4 linked regions of the Rattus norvegicus genome follow. The protein of the gene in region 1 purifies or fractionates together with the protein of each later gene. This does not show direct contact. Links are inferred from orthologs where the notes say so. Each region holds a gene or a part of one and is shown in the gene's direction. Other genes may lie near its edges.

Evidence for each region. Proteins that work in one complex are often made in the same cells at the same time.
Region 2: the proteins of Dnajb6 (region 1) and Bag2 purify together in Homo sapiens (affinity purification with mass spectrometry; 4 studies listed by BioGRID and IntAct, with this or other methods). This does not show direct contact. The link is inferred for Rattus norvegicus from reciprocal best matches to the Homo sapiens genes DNAJB6 and BAG2.
Region 3: the proteins of Dnajb6 (region 1) and Stip1 purify together in Homo sapiens (affinity purification with mass spectrometry; 3 studies listed by BioGRID and IntAct, with this or other methods). This does not show direct contact. The link is inferred for Rattus norvegicus from reciprocal best matches to the Homo sapiens genes DNAJB6 and STIP1.
Region 4: the proteins of Dnajb6 (region 1) and Mlf2 purify together in Homo sapiens (affinity purification with mass spectrometry; 3 studies listed by BioGRID and IntAct, with this or other methods). This does not show direct contact. The link is inferred for Rattus norvegicus from reciprocal best matches to the Homo sapiens genes DNAJB6 and MLF2.

Annotation. Positions count from the first base shown.
Region 1 is NC_086022.1:6,229,205-6,233,218, reverse strand, and holds the start of Dnajb6 (dnaJ homolog subfamily B member 6), read left to right. Parts: upstream 1-1,214; 5' UTR 1,215-1,305; intron 1,306-4,014. UniProt on the Homo sapiens protein: Has a stimulatory effect on the ATPase activity of HSP70 in a dose-dependent and time-dependent manner and hence acts as a co-chaperone of HSP70. Plays an indispensable role in the organization of KRT8/KRT18 filaments.
Region 2 is NC_086027.1:43,473,838-43,477,939, reverse strand, and holds the start of Bag2 (BAG family molecular chaperone regulator 2), read left to right. Parts: upstream 1-1,302; 5' UTR 1,303-1,322; coding exon 1,323-1,435; intron 1,436-4,102. UniProt on the Homo sapiens protein: Co-chaperone for HSP70 and HSC70 chaperone proteins. Acts as a nucleotide-exchange factor (NEF) promoting the release of ADP from the HSP70 and HSC70 proteins thereby triggering client/substrate protein release.
Region 3 is NC_086019.1:213,654,855-213,658,785, reverse strand, and holds the start of Stip1 (stress-induced-phosphoprotein 1), read left to right. Parts: upstream 1-1,131; 5' UTR 1,132-1,196; coding exon 1,197-1,205; intron 1,206-3,931. UniProt on the Homo sapiens protein: Acts as a co-chaperone for HSP90AA1. Mediates the association of the molecular chaperones HSPA8/HSC70 and HSP90.
Region 4 is NC_086022.1:159,425,176-159,429,198, forward strand, and holds the start of Mlf2 (myeloid leukemia factor 2), read left to right. Parts: upstream 1-1,223; 5' UTR 1,224-1,464; coding exon 1,465-1,514; intron 1,515-1,733; coding exon 1,734-1,860; intron 1,861-2,103; coding exon 2,104-2,139; intron 2,140-3,119; coding exon 3,120-3,173; intron 3,174-3,468; coding exon 3,469-3,597; intron 3,598-3,762; coding exon 3,763-3,922; intron 3,923-4,023.

The DNA of each region.
Region 1 (4,014 bases):
AGCCCTCCTGTTAGCTGTAGGAGTTTATATAACTTCTCCACATGGGGGGTGAGCAGTGGGTGGGCCACTGAGAAGAGTCAGAGCCCTCAAAATCAGGACAGACTGAGTATGGTGCTGACCTTAGTCCATAAAGTCAGGCAGATGCGGCTCGGGGGTACAGCATTGGAACTGTGTACGTACATTCAGCTGTCCTGGAATTAGCTGTGGACCAGGCTGTAGAAAATGTGCAAAATGCCTTTGGTTCGGCATCTCAATGAAAACTAGGCCCGGTGGTTGTGAAGGATGTCATCCCAAACCTGTAATTCTGGAAAGTTCAAAGTCAGAGGGAGCAACTAAGCTGCAACCTTTTCAAAAGAGGGCTGGGGTAGGCTTCTAGGGTAGAGTGTTTAGCATGTACAAAGCCTTGGGGTTCAATGTCTACCACTAGGAAAATCAAATTTTGCACTCAAAAACAAAACAAAAACGAGCAAAGGAAAAAAAAAGAATGCCATGTGGTAAGAAGGTGGTTGAGGGTCTGGAGAGGTGGTTCAGTGGTTAAGAGCACTGGCTGTTCTCCCAGGAAGTCTTGAGTTCTATTCCCAGCATCCACATGGCGGCTCACATCACCTGTAATGGGAACCGATGTCCTCTTCTGGTTTGCCTGAAGACAGTGACAGTATACTCATATTCATAAAATAAATTCATCTTTATTTTAAAAAAGTGGTTGAAATCCAGATTCGGCACTCCATGTAAGTAATGATGGGGCCTCTCACGGTTCAAGTAAGATCAGGGCTGGGGACGGGGCACTGAGGAGGATCTAAGTCGGGACCACAGCTCTCAACGTCCATTGGGAGTGTGAGTCATATTATGCTAGCAGCTCGTTATCTCAGAATCCACAGTCAGAGGCTGTGAGCGTCCTTCCTCCCAGCCTGCTTCCGGCAAACGCAGGATTGTCTACAGGTCGCCTCAGGCTTTAGAGTCCTCCAGGCTCAGGGCTTGCGAAAGGTGGCGGTTTCCCACTCTATTCAGTCGCCTATATAAACCCTCTAGAGTTCCACCATGCTCAGCTCCGAGAATCTTCAGGTCTGGGAGACGCGCGCTATCGGATCCGACGACCAAGGAAGCTGCTGTGCACGCTAGCTTCAGGGCCGGGCGGAAGTCGACGTCGCCGCGCCGCCACCGCGTGACGCACTTCCTGTTTGTTGTTGGAGAAAAGGAGAGAAAGGAAAGCGCGAGGAGACGCCGCCACCGCCACCAGCGCACTGTGCCAGAGCCGCGAGGAGACCGGCCGCCTGACTTCCCCCCTCGCTGGCCGCCGCGTCCTCGGTGAGGGTCCGCGTATTGGGGCGGAAAGCGGGGTTGACTGCGGCGGGAGGAGAGGGTTTGCGGGTGAGCTAACCCGCTTGGCACCCGGAATACGGGTTCTGGAAACCGGCTCGACAGTGGGGCCGGCGGGTATTGCTCGCTAGGGCCGAACGGGTCCCAGTCCAAGCTGTAGTCTGTGTCTAGTTCTTGGTCTGGGCTGGTTCTAGGTTGGGTCTGTAGAGAGCGTTTTTGCGGTTCCTGGTCAGGCCTAGCTTGGGGCTTAGCTCCGGTCCGCTTCCCAGGCTCTCTGGTTAGCAGTGGCGGTTGGGGCCCGGCACGCGCTAGGTCGGCCGCAGAGCTCCAGGAGTCGGCGAGGCTGGTGTCACCGTGTCCTGGTGTCCTCAGTGCATTCTGTAAGCAAGGGGTCAGGTGGCATGCGAAGAGCAGAACTCCCAGGAAGGCACAGTCACTGGCCCAGGCCACCAGGCTGCGAAGGGGGCCGGTGAGAAGGCCAAGGCGGTTTGGTTTCCAGGATGCTCCTGGGACTGTTGGGGAAGTTTGCTAGGCGATCTGCCTGGCTTAGTTTACTTTTAAAACTCGTTTGCTGTTGGCCTTGAAGGTTGCTTTGCTGTGGTTTATGTAATAAAGTTTATGTAACTGAAGTTTACATTAAGTCTTAATTTACTTCGGCTGTGTAGACTAGGGAACTCTGCACTGCAAACTGAAAGGTTGTCTTAAAATTTTTTTTTTTTTTTGAGACAGAGAGTTTTACAGAATGAGTTTGTCAAGTTTTAAAAGCTTTGTTACCGAAGCTGTTTGTGAACCGTTGATAGGGAATGGCGGGGATGGTCCCACCTAATAAGGTGGGGAATGCCTACAGTGAGGAGTGTGTGCCCACCTTATTATTGTTGTTATTATTATTATTATTATTATCGTTTTTATTAGAATCATAGATTTGTGGTTAGGGTTTGTGCATTCGATCTAGACCCTAGAATCTTAGGAGATTCTGCTTGCTAGGGAAATAAGTGATAGCTACTATAAGGCAACCGTTTTAGTAGAAATATTGGATGTAAAAGCCAGAGGAGGGAACAGCTAAAGAGCAGGCGTCTTGACATTTGATACCTGAAATGAAGTGTATCAGACTTACTGATACCTGAAAGAAAGTTTTCATATCTGTTACCGTACTCCTTGTCCTTTGGGACGTCACCACCACAGGTGGAATTGCCCTCTGGTGTGTGATTACTATGTGATCAGTACAGACACTTGCAGTGAACTTCGGGTAGAGCTTTGGGATTAGGAAGAACATGAAATACGGGAAGAAATGCTGCCTTTTGTAGGAATGGGTTAATTAATTTATTATATATAAGTACACTGTAGCTATCTTCAGACACACCAGAAGAGGGCATCAAATCTTATTACAGATGGTTGTGAGCCACCATGTGGTTGCTGGGAATTGAACTCAGGACCTCTGGGAGAGCAGTCAGTGTTCTTAACCACTGAGCATCTCTCCAGCTCCAGTCTTCTCTTCTGTTCACTCTTTTGCCCAGGCAGACCTCTTAGATTTCCGGCCCTCTTGTGTCTCTTGGAAGTTGTTCCCCCCACCCGAAACCCCTGCCCGAGACAGAAGATGGGGTTTCTTTGTGTATCCCTGGCTGTCCTGAATTTGCTCTGTATACCAAGCTGGCCTTGAATTCAGATTCCTCTGCCTCTGCCCTCCTAAGTGCACTGAAGGCAGTACTCACTATGTCCAGCTGAGAAAGTTGGCTTTTAAAATATTTTTATTGTGTTTATGTGTGTGTATATATGAAATGTGTATCTTATAGCCTATGCCTGGGAATCCGACTTTCTGGCCAGTATGCTCTGTTTATATAGCTGTGCACTGCCAGTGCTGAGTTTGTTCTTTTTGATTTTGAGTTTAGGGTCTCAGCGTGTTAACCTGGAACCCAATGATCAGCCTCCCAAGCGCTGAGATCAAAGATGCACCACCACATCCTGCCCTTTTTTCTTCTACCTCTTGACTACAGGTCTCACTTTTTAGCTGTAGCTTGGTATATAGATCAGGCTGGCCTTGAATTCTGCTTTGACTTCACTAATATTCCCCATGCTTGGCCCAGAGTACATACAATGTTAGGGAGTCAACTCTCTATTTCAGTAGGTTCCTGGGATGGAATTTAGGTTGTAAGACAAGTGGGACTGAATTGTTTGGCCAGCTGGCCAACTCCATAGCCTGACAAGTTTGCTTTTGTTCAGTGGAAGATGAACAAGTGAACTCAGATCATTGAGCTTTAGAGTGGAATATCTTAAAGAAATCATTGTCTGCCAGGCAATAATGGTCCATACCTTTAATCCTAGTATTCAGAAGGCAGAAAGAAGCAAGCTGATCTCTGAGAGCTGGAAGCCAACATGGTTTACAGTTGGAGTTTAGGACAGCCAGGACTACACAGTGAAACCCTGTCTCAGAAAAACCAAACAAAAAGCCAAACAAATTATTCCTTGAGTCAGAGGTGGACCAGTGTCCTCCTGAGTTGGATGTCACCTAGGTCTGTATAGTGAGATCTTCCTTAAAAACAAAAGTATTGTTGATTTCAGTGTTAGATGTGAGCTAAATAGTATATTGGGTAATGAATATTCTTGCAAACTGTGAAAACAGAAGTAGGAATTCCTCAGAATAGTGGCTCTACTGTCAGAGTTAAGTGACAATACCATTTCCCTATGTAAACCTGTATTGTA
Region 2 (4,102 bases), on another chromosome or scaffold:
GATGCTTGTTACTTTAGTTACTTTCCTCCTGCTGTGATAAAACATCATGACCAAGGCAACCTGTAAAATAAAGCATTTAATTGAACTTAGATACAGAGGGTCTGAGTCTATAATGGCCACAGAGATGCCCTGAGCACTCACATCTCAAACCCAAGTCGAGGCAGAGAGACACTAGGAATAGCTTGAATCTTTTCAAACCTGCCCATAGGGATACACTTCCTCCAGCGAGGCCTCACCTAAGTCCTCCCTGGTGATGAGGACAGAGAGTACAGGGAGGGGGAATTCAAACAACCACATCTGCCTGGCTTAGTTGCCAACCTAGCACAGAGGCAGACACTCTACCGCAGAGCTGTGTCTGCAGCCCCTTTTATTTTTCTTTTGACACAGGCGCTTGCTGAAGCTTCCCAGCCTAGCCTTGAATTCACTCTGGCCTAATTCACACAACTCTGTCTCAGCCTCCAGCGGAGCATTAGACCTGAGACTTGCCCAAGCTCAGACTTCCAAGACGTCCACAAAATGTTCAGATTTCTCGGTCGTGTCGTGAGATGACCGTGTTTAATGAAGCCAAGATAATCCACCGCTCATTAGTATTAAGATGAGTTCAGGATAAGGATGGGGTGGGGGGTGGAGGGGTGGGACTAGAAGCCAGTCGTACTTAAGGGGCTTGTCTCTGTTCAGTGATCTAATGGCTTTGAGTTCTGAGTGAAGGAAGTAAATGAACTTTGTTTCCCTGTGCATTTCTGTATCCTGTGCATTGAGAGAGCAAAACACGACTTTAAGTGGACGCGGCTTTGTACTTCAGCCCTGCTGACCTCTACAGCTTCTGACACATGAGCCTACCGAATATCATTCGCAGAGGATTTAAACAAGTTATGTGTGAAAGTAATAATCCTTTCATTGGAAAGGCAAGACAACACAGATGCACTTGGCTTCTCCTTATTTGGAGCCTGTGGTCCAGGCTTTCCCTGGACTCTCCGGAGCCCGCCTGGTCACCCGACAGGTCGGGCAAGTAGAGACTGCCCTTTAGGGCGTCCTGAATTGTCTCCGGCTCTCCCCACGTCACGGGCAGCACCCACTACGTCCTTGCTGTGAATCGTGGGTGCTGGGAGGAACGGCGTGGGCCCTCGGCGCCCCGGGGCAGGGTCCCCCACCCAGGCGTGCGGGCGGCTGCGCCCGCGCCTGCCCTTGTTTGGCCGCGCGGCCTCGGGGGTGGGGAGCCTGGGAGGTGGGGGCGGTGCCGTCCGCGTCAGCGGCGCCTGCGGTGACGGCGACGTGCGGCCCGCGCCACTGCTACCCGCGGACGCCGAGGACCCCCGGAGCTCATGGCCCAGGCGAAGATCAGCGCCAAGGCCCACGAGGGCCGCTTCTGCCGCTCGTCCTCCATGGCCGACCGCTCCAGCCGCCTGCTGGAGAGCCTGGACCAGCTGGAGCTCAGGTGAGGGCGGCGGGGGCGCGCGCGGGCGGGGGCGCGCTCCGGGTGGGCTCCCCTCCCCCGGCCGGCAGCGCGGCGAGCCAGTGCGGCTTGCAGAACTTCCAGATCCTTCGGCGCGGTCCCCCTCTGCCTTTAACTTTCCCGCTTCCAGGGGGCAGGCAGCAGGTTGGTGTGGTCCTTCCCCCCTCCCCTGTAATAAGTTTCTTTGCCCCAGATCACTTCATAGTAACACAAGAGTAAGTTTTAAAAAAGAAAAAACCCAGGACTGCCCCTCCGGGGGACCAGCGAGAATCAGACTCAAAAGGGGCCGCGCGAGATACCGAAGTTGGATACCATCCTTCCTTCTCTTAACCACGTGCAGTGCCCTCTGCAGTCTGTCCGTGTATGTTGTGCGTTTAGAAGACACAGCTGACACTTGGGAAGTGCCAGTCGCAGGTCTGAAAACACCAAAGGCAGGCGTCACACTCTCCCTGAGATTCTATCACGGGGACGGCCTTGTAGTAAAATTTCTAAATCGTGAATACTACTAGCAGATGCTGTGAATACTTGGCTTTAGCAACATGAGCCCCGGTGTATCTGGTGGGAACGTTAAGGTCTCCAAAGTTGTGCAAGTTTTGATTGTGTGCAGGCGCTGTTCCATGAAAATCGTATGGAGACACCCTGACACATGTTGTTCCCTAGTTTTCTCCAGGTTCTGCATAAGCAGAAATATGAGCCAAAATCTTAAGAGTCTTGTGCGTCTTCATCTCTCTCCGTGCATCCACCAAACACAGTATGTTTGCACAGAAAAATACAAGCAGTGTTTGTTACAATTGAGGTGTTCGCTATTTTTACTATTAGGAGAAAAGAACCAGAAGGTGAGAAACTTTTAGTCTCTGGAGTAGCAACCACAAGAGAAGCCTGAACCCTATGTCCCCCAAACCGGAGGGAGACAAAGGGACCTATGCTGAGAAGGGAGGGGGTCAGCATTAAAGCCCCTCTGAAAAGAGAGGAGTGTTTCCCTCTGTGAGGTAGGCTCCGAACTTTGACAGTACATTCTCAACTGCTCCGATTTTTTTTTTCCTTGAAGGGTTCAGGAAGTTGTCACTCTTCCTCAAGCTGAGTCATTGTTCAGAAACTTGAGTTAATCCCTGCCGGCCATGTGCTGAGTCCCTCCTCTCCTCCTGGGGGCCTCTTGAAAGTCTGGGGGTTGCTTAGTGTTACATTCTAATGTCTGACTACGTCAAAGGAATCTCAATTCCCGGCCCATAGGAGATTAAATTATGTTACTTATTAACAGTTGCGCTGAAGGGGGTTTCTTACTGTGTGTTTAGTGGTTCAAGGCCTTTACCAGTAAGCGCAGATTTCTGTAAGTCTTGTTTCTCTTTAAAAATGTGATGCGCACTTAGAAGTAAGTTTGTCAGAAGGTGAAAGAAATGGGGGGAGGGATGATGCTGCCTTTTAAGGTTTGGGGGCCCTTTTTAGAAGCCACCTGGACAGTGTCACAGAGCAGGACACTTTAAAATTAGGCTTTTCAAACATGGGTAGAGAAAGATGACGCTCCTGTGACGTCCCTCCAACTTTCTTAGTGCCCATGTGTGGGAAAAGCAGTGGATGGGGTAGTGTAAGTCATTGGTTGGTAGCCAGTGTGCATCTTCCATTCAGTTGAACTGGTTCTGTGGACTGAAACCACATCAAAGGCTTTATGTCCTGCAGGATGAACTGACCTCGGGGGGTGTCCGAAATGCTTTAAAATGTTTTATAAATCGGTAACAGATGCCGTTTGTTTCTAATGGCTTATGATATTAACGACACCATCTTACATTAAAACAATATTTTATTACTACGCCTCCTCTCCTGCAGTGCTTTCTCTAAAAAGATAATCCCGTCCTTTCCTGATTTACATGACCAGCTCTATGGGGATTCTGCGCTTGTCGAGGCCGAACGCCTTACTCTTTAGTGGTTATCCTAGTTTATAAATCATCCATGTTAGCATCAGTCTGTAGGCTAGGCCTCGTGTCTCTGGGGGAGTTACCGTTATCTGTATTGCGCAGATGAGAAGTTGAAGCTCAGATATACACAACATGCTTCAGTCCAGAGCAGAGCACTTCACATGTGAACACGGGAAGACCGGCTGCTCAGGTCAACACCATGTGTCCTGGTCTTGAATATCACTTTTCAAACTGTCCGTCTGACCTATGAATGAATATGATTTTACTAAAAGAGAAGAAAATCAATTTAGCGTTTGAGTCAGTAAACATTGAAGACCTGGAGCATGTCTGTTATTGAGTAGCTTCTAGGAGCTGTGGGTCAGGGGCTGGGCTTTGGACATTGGCCAAGGAGGTATAATGGTTGGTAGGACTGGGAGATCGGCTGCTTACACATCTCCCAAAACCGATCATGTGGTGAGCAGCTCCTTCCCAGTTCACTCAGCCAGCAGGGGCCAGGGAAACGGGCCACCCCCTGCTTTGGTTTCTGACTGTTTAAGGTTCCTGTTAGCATGTGCCAGTGTTCCAGGACCCACAAAGCAAGTTGACACCATATTTAATTTGTCGTTAACAGTCTGTAATTTAGAAGGAACGCTTTTCGTGCACACTGTCATTTGAATCTTATAAAACCCCCGAGGGAGGAGGGCGTTATTATCTTTTAGCAGTGAGAACGATGGGCTGTGATGGGACTTGGTGGGAAGGA
Region 3 (3,931 bases), on another chromosome or scaffold:
GCTCACCCCTGTAATTTCAGCACTCTCCCTCTCCGAAACAGGGTCTCACTACATAATTCTGTTACATATAGTTCTGGCTATCCTAGACCTCACTATGTAGACCAGGCTAGCCTCAGAGATCCGCCTGCCTCTGCTTCCTGAGTCCTGTATGCCACTACCGCTCATTTCCTCCGATCTTAAGCGAGGCAGGAGAAAGAACTAGGTAAGGGGTAACCTGATGGAGAGGGTGTGCATTGGCGCTACTGGCACAGACAGGGTAGCACAGAGCCCAGGTTCCTCATCCAAGCCCTGTCCAGACCCCTGATCAGTCTCTGTTGTTTCATAAACTACACGCTAAGCCTGTAACCAATGTAGCATTTCTGCTGGCAGGCCACGGTGATCAAAGCTTGCAACTGAGTTCAGAGAGTGTAGCTCCACTAAGGACAAGTGGCAGGTCAGCCGGGACACGGCCGGGAAAGCGGAGGCCTGTCCTGGCCCGCAGCATTTTGGAAAAATTCAGCAAAGGCCCGCTGTGGCCCGCAACATTTTGGGAATATTCCGGGCCTAACAGACGCGATGTAAGGAAGCGCGGGCCAACACCGGAGAACAGTTTATATCGCTGCAGTTAAAAGCCTCAGCGACACCCGGCCAGATGCTCGACTCCCAGGAACCACCAGCCGAGCACCCTTACAGGGCAGCGGCCTAAACCAATCAGCGCCAAGTATGACCAATTTCTCCCCACCCATCCACCCAATTGAATTTCTTCTCTGAAAGGCGGTTCCGTCTAGGAGGCCTTCAGCCCAATGAGAGTTGTGGAAATTTCCAGAAAGAACAGGACCAATGGGCGCGGCCAGGTCAGCTATAATTGACGGACTCAGCAACCAATCCGTGTCGTCAAGGACCGGTTCTCCCTCAGTTAGCCCAGCCCCGAAATGGGCGGGGCTCGTCTCGGATCGTCCAATTCCGAGGTGCAGAGGAGGCAGGGCTAAAGAGAAGACCCACAGAAAACCAATGAAAGAGAAGTTATGATGATTGACTGGACTTTAATCCAATAGTAGAGGCGCACAGAGCCTCCTGGACGGCTCAACCAGTGAGCAGGCGAGGAAGGGGCGGTAACCTGGGGGTCCCGGCAGCTTCTAGTAGGTTCCAGAAGGCGGCGCGTGCGGTTGGGAACGCGGAGCGGACGAATTCGATTCAACGGGGTTCCGGGCCAGGCTATGGAGCAGGTGAAGGGGGAGGGGCGGCCGGGGCTCCGGGGCAACGCAGGCCTGTTGGCGAGGAGAAGCAAGTGGTCGGGGGCCTGGCCACGCGGCCGAGGCGCGGGCGTGAGGGCCGCGGTCAGGCGTGTGAAGGGAGAATGGCGAGCGCCAGTCGCCCCCGCGACCCGCCGAGTGGAGCGGGAACAGGCCTGGCCGCGGCCAGGCCCCGAGGCTTCTGGGTGCGGGGCTGCCTCAGCGCGGGGAGGCCCCGGCCGGCCGCTGCAAACTTGGAGGGATCCGGTGACCGATCACCTCGGCAGCCTTCGGGGTACACGGCATCTCTTTGCGCCCGGGAAAGGGGCCCGCGCGACTGTGCACAGAAGGCGGGCGCGGATAGTGTCATCGAGTCTCCCTGAGGCTCCAGATACATATGTCGCCCCTCCCCCCTTTTTTCTTGGTGACTGTAGGGTGACTGAGGATCTGACCCTTGGAAATTCCGTTCCCAATAACACAGGATTTAGTGATTTTAGACAGTTGGGAGCCGATAGTGAGGAGCTAGAAGTCCCTGCCTGCCTCTTCCGCTCAGCATCTGGGGCACAGAGGCAAACCTGCTGTCCTTACCTTGGTGACTTAGCTCAGGCCACAGTGGCCTGCATCTGTGAGGCCTGGAGAGGTTTTGTTACCTTGGAAGCTGTCATTGAACCGTTGTGATTCAGCCAAACACAGAAAAAAAGAGCACAGCTTACTACTTTTACTGTGATGGATAAAGTGAAACCTTTTGTTCTGGAAGAGCCACTGTGAGGGACCACGGGGCCTCTCTGCTTGTTAGTAAGACTAAATGAGAGGTTAATTAACTTTTTTGTACCCTTGGAGTAATTAAGTTGTAACTGAGATAGGTAGGCTGCAGTACAGACAAGAGAAACGCTTTTTGGAATAAGCAGCACCTTGCTCTGTTAAAACAAAAAGGAGTTAGTTGTTTTCCTTTATCATTCATTCATTTATTTAGTGTGTGGTGCTAGGGATCAAACCCAGGGCCTGGAGAATTCAGAACTATGGTCTACCACAGCCATCCTCCCCAACCTCCTCAGGGGAAAAAAAAATCCTGCCAGCCATTGTACAAGTGTTCATGTAGATAGTAAAGTAAGTGAATGGCTGAGCCCAGGACTGCAAAATAAGATTTCAGTGTTGGGCTTAGAGATGGTTCAGTTGGTAAGGACGTGTAAGAATGAAGACTTGAGTTCAGATTCTTAGTACCCACTAAAACGTAGGGAGGAGGGGAGACTGGAGGATCTTAGTCTGTGAGCTCCAGGTTCTTTGAGAGATCCTATCTCAGTAAGGTGGAGAGCATTAGAGGAAGAAACCCTGACTCCAACTTCTGCCCTGTGCACTAGCTGACACACAAATAAATTTGAATATTGAAAATTGTACATTGAAAGAACTCTTTCAGGTAACTCCTACAGTGACTTGTAGTTTACATTTTTTTTTTTTTTTTTTTTTTTGGTTCTTTTTTTCGGAGCTGGGGACCGAACCCAGGGCCTTGCGCTTCCTAGGTAAGTGCTCTACCACTGAGCTAAATCCCCAGCCCCTAGTTTACATTTTTAAGATTTATTTTTGCTAGGCATGGTTGTGCATGCAGTGAAGTTTAGCACTCCTGAGGAAGAGGCAGACTGATCTCTGAGTAAGTAACCGGACAGCCAGAGTTTCGTATGAGGCCCTGTCTCAAAAAAAAACCAAGGGGTTGGGGATTTGGCTCAGTGGTAGAGCGCTTAAGGCCCTGGGTTTGATCCCCAACTCCAAAAAAAAAAAAAAAAAAAAAAAAACCAAACCAAAAACCCAAAACATTTTTAATGCCCGGTGTGGTAGCACAGGTCTTTAATACCAACACTTGGAAAGCAGAGGCAAACAGATCTACAGCTTTGTCTACATAGTGGAGTTACAAGATCAGCTATCAGTAAAGAGACCCTGACTGCAAACACAGATGAGTTTTTATTTGTGTACTGTGTGCTCTTTTTCTCCCTTGGCCTTCCTGTAAAGGAATGGCATTTGGCAGTTTCATGTCTTTCCTTTACTTCTTGCCCGTCATCCTCCTTCCCTGAGAACAGGGTCCCTGCTTCTAAGTGTTGGAGTTACAGAGCAAACCCAGACCAATGGAAATTTCTGATTGGTGTGCCTTGGGATTCTAAAAGCATCTGAAAGAAAAATTCTGTGTCAGTCTTGTCAATCATAAGTAGATAATAGTTTCATAATAGGTGCTGTAATAATTTCAGTACAGTTTGACTCAGTGGTTTGGTCTTGCTGGCCTCACATTTAATATATATAGCCAAGAGATGACCTCCTTATTCTCCTGCTTCCACTTTATAAGTCCTGAAATAATAATAGGTGTATGTCACTGTGCTTGGTGCTGGTATCCAGCCTGGTGCTTCAAGTGAGTTACATCCCAGTGACATAAGTATACATCCTACTCCACTAGTGTTTACTCTTTGCTTGGCTTTAAAAGAGAGCTGCTAGCCTGTGGTAGTTTTAATCTGAGTACTTGGGAGGGAGGCGGAAGTGGAAGCTGGCAGATCCCTGAGTACGAGGACAGCCAGGGCTACACAGAAACCCTGTCTTGGAAAGTCAGTGGTGGTGTGCTGTGAAGCTGTTTTTTTTTTTTTTCCCCATAGCTAGCTTATATATGCAGTTTTTTGTTGTTGTTGTTGTTGTTTTCTGAGATTTTTTTTTTAAATTTCTGTGTAGCCCTGGGTATCCTGAAA
Region 4 (4,023 bases), about 150 Mb from region 1:
ACGTAAGAGCTAGAGAAATGGGACTGGAATGTAACTTAGTGGTAGGACATGTGCTTGGCAAACCCGAAGCCCTCAGTTGGATCCTGAGCACTAAAGCCAAAACTAAAAAGCCGACAACAAAAAGCAAACATCAGAACTAACGCTTTTGCCCAGGCCAACCCTTCACAGACAGGTCTTGGAGTGGTCCAGAAGCCTAAGCCAACCCGGTGTCCTAAGGCAGTAAAGATCCAGCCTGGCCCAGGAGCGCTCTCTGGCGGCCAAACTCCCAACATCCCTTCCCTGGTTGGCCTTTTCCAAGGCTGAACTAGACCTGAGCTAAATTGTCACCTCCTCCTCTGCGTCACTCGGAGGACCCCGCCCGCCGGAGCGTCTCTCCAGAGGGACAGGCCCCCGCGCTCCCCTGGTTAAGCGCCCCTCCTGCACTGAGTTTAAAGGTCCCCGCAGGGATCCGCCCCACCGGTCGCCCCCAGACAGACCGCCTCCCCCCTCCCGCAAAGAAGGTGCGGCACACCCTGCCCCCGTCGCGCTCAACCAGTCCCTCCCGATTCCGCTCCGCCCTCCCCCACCTTTGCAGGAGCCTCTTCCTGTCCCCAGATCCCCGTGCCAGCTTAACGAGACCTCCCACCGGCCCCAGAGGACCCGCCCTCCGGGGCTCCGCCGCGAGCCCGCCGCCCCCTCCCATGCAGGTGGGTGGAGCTCCCGTGGCCCGCCCCCAAGACTGTCCGTCATGACGTCACTTCCGCTCGGGCCTGACCGAGGTTCGGCTCCTCGGGCCGAGGGCGGGGGTACGGAGGTGGCAGCTGAAGGCAGGAGGCGGTGCGGGAGGCGAGAAGCTCCCGCGCGGACCAATCCCTGCGTCCCGGGCCGAGACCCTGCTCCTGCAGCGCCCCGAGGAGAGGCCGGCCGGATGGGCCGCTGAGCCCGAGTCGGGGACCGGTGAGGCCAGGGCGGCGCGGCCCGCACGGTTGCAGGGATGCGAGCCCGGGAGTGGACCTCCCTCTCCGGCTCGCCCGGCGGGAGGCACGGGTTGGGGCAGCGGCGGACCGGCTCGGTGGGCAGTGAGGCCCGCCCGGAGAGGCCTGGTAGCGGCCCGTGCCAGCAGAAGGCGGAGTAGTTGGGGTCATTAATGGGGTGGCGGGCCGCCGTTCGAGATTCTCATCGAGACTGGCGTCGGAGGAGGAGCTGACCGTGGCTCGGGGAAGAGGATGGCGGGCGGGGGTGGAGGGGCAACACTAAGAAGCTTGGGGAAAATTCCGTGACCGGCTTGGAGAGCTACTCGCTCTCAAAACTAGAAGGTTATGTGGTCCACCTGCCGAAGGGTCTCTCTGGAGTTTGGATGGGTCATTGATAGTGTGTGCAAGAGACAGCTTTAAGAGTAGCTACACTGAGCTGGTGTGCATAAGCCTGCATGAAACTCAGCCTCCGTATCTTCACAGTGTGGAGCCCCCTGGAGCTGAGATCAGGATGTTCCGCTTCATGAGGGACGTGGAGCCTGAGGATCCCATGTTCCTGATGTGAGAATTCCCTCCCCCCTCGTGCACTCATCCCACTCTAATTCAGGTCTGAGCAGTTCAGACAGACCTCTGGGTTCCCGTGTCTGGAACCGGATAGAATTTAGCTGCAGCTCTCAGACGGGAGTTGGTCTCCTGCCACTGCGCACCCTGACTTATTTGGGGGGAGGTGAAGAAGGCTGGGGTTTAATCTGCCGTCTGTATTGTATGCTCACTCCACAGGGACCCCTTTGCAATTCACCGTCAGCATATGAGCCGCATGTTGTCAGGTGGCTTTGGATATAGCCCCTTCCTAAGCATCACAGATGGTAACATGCCAGCAACCAGGCCTGCCAGCCGCAGGATGCAGGTAACAGTTGGAACATACCGAGACCCAGGGTGACTAGTTAAGTATGCTGCCATTCTGGTCCTACAACCAGCTTTAAAAGGACATGATCTGTGTGGGAGGCAGAGGAGTGGGGATAGAGAATCTGGGAAAGGGGGCTTTGACTCCCGAGGAGAGAAGGATGGGGTTGGGGGATGGAGGCACTGGCCACGTTTGGTATAGTAAGGTCGTAGGATGTAGTTCTAACTTCTGTTCCTTATCTTGTAGGCTGGGGCTGTCTCTCCCTTTGGGATGTTGGGAATGGTGAGTTCTTGTCTTCTCTGTTCCCCTCGAGCTCGCTCTCTCTCTCTCTCTCTCTCTCTCCTGTGTCTCTGTCTGTCTCTCTCTTCTGGCTCTTTGTGTCTCTGTCTCTCTCTTTCTCTGACACACAGATACACACAGACCTTAGATGTTATTTTCAGATGTGCCACTTTGGTGACAATGTTAGTCTAGGGGTGGTCTCAAAATCTTCTCTGGATAGTTGACATAGTTTAGAGCCCATTGAATATAAATCATGGAGCTAGGGCTAGAGAAATGGCTCCAGGGTTAAGAGCACCTGGCTGTTCTTCCAGACAACCAGGGTTTGGTTCCCAGCACCCACATGACAGCTCACAACTGTCTGTCTGTAGTCTCCAGGCATCTGATGCCATCTTCTGTTCCCTACCGTGCATTGCATGAATGGAGGGAACACATACATGCAGACAGAACACTCATTCATAGAAAAATATAAATAAAGTGCTCAAATACTCCTGATAGCTGGAAGTTCTTATCCACTGGGGAAAGTAAGATTGTATAGCAGTTCTTTTGAGGAGGGAGACTTTGGGACACTTTTACAACTCTAGATATTCAGAGGGTTTTTTGGTCGATGTCTTGGATTTTGGTTTTTTGAGACAAGGTTTCTTTATAACAGCCCTGGGTCTCCTGGAACTCACTCTGTAGACCAGGCTGGCCACAAGTCATCTGTGCTTGCCTCTGCCTCCCAGTGTTGGATTAAAGGCAAACCGTCAACATTTAGCATGTTCAGAGGAGCTAACTCACTGCTTTTGGGTCACTTCCTTAAAGATAGGGAAATGCACAGGTAGGAGAAGCATCAGAACAGCCACAGACCCGAGAAGGTGGCCAGCAGCTTATGGGGAGGAGCATGAGTGTTCTGGCTACATTTAAGAAGGAAAGCGGGTCTGTCCTCAGGTGAGTGACAGGCCCACAACCGCTGACCCATCTTCCTGACCCTCTCCTTTCCTCAGTCCGGCGGCTTCATGGACATGTTTGGGATGATGAACGACATGATTGGGAACATGGTATGACTTGCTCCAGTCTTCCCCGGCCTTGATCTCGGTGGCAGCCAACATGGCGGGAGGGGGTGAGGTGATGTGCTAGTGAAGAGGCTGGGTTGGACTGAGCTGAGCCAGAGCACCGGGGTCCTGTGTGTGTTCTTATACCCCTGAGCGATCACATGTGTTAGTGTTGGGCTAGGGAGTTGGGCAGTTGTGATGCCCATTCTCCTTGTGTAGTTAAGAAAGCTGAGGCAAGAGCAGTCAGCTGGAGGGAGCTCCCTTCTGCAAAGTAGGCCCTCCTCATTCAGTCTCTCCTCAGGAGCACATGGCCGCCGGAGGCAACTGCCAGACCTTCTCTTCCTCCACGGTCATCTCCTACTCCAACACTGGGGATGGTGCCCCCAAGGTTTACCAGGAGACATCTGAGATGCGCTCTGCCCCAGGCGGGGTGAGTAAGGAACTCCCCTATCTCAGAGGAGGTAGGACTGATTGGCACACACAGGAACCAGGGACGTCTTTTTTCAGGAATGGGTCGTGGGTGGTGTGTTCATCCAGGGTGATGTAGCCAGGGCTTTGTGGGGACAATTGCATGTGTCTGGTCCCTTTGTCCCAGATCCGGGAGACACGGAGGACTGTCCGGGACTCAGACAGTGGCCTAGAGCAGATGTCCATTGGGCATCACATTCGGGATAGGGCCCACATCCTCCAGCGCTCCCGAAACCACCGCACGGGCGACCAGGAGGAGCGGCAGGACTACATCAACCTGGACGAAAGTGAGTGAGCCAGCCACTCAGCCAGCCTGCCTGCCTGCCTGCCTGCCTGCCTGCCTGCCTGCCTGCCTGCCTGCCTGCCTTCCTTCCTTCCTTCCTTCCTT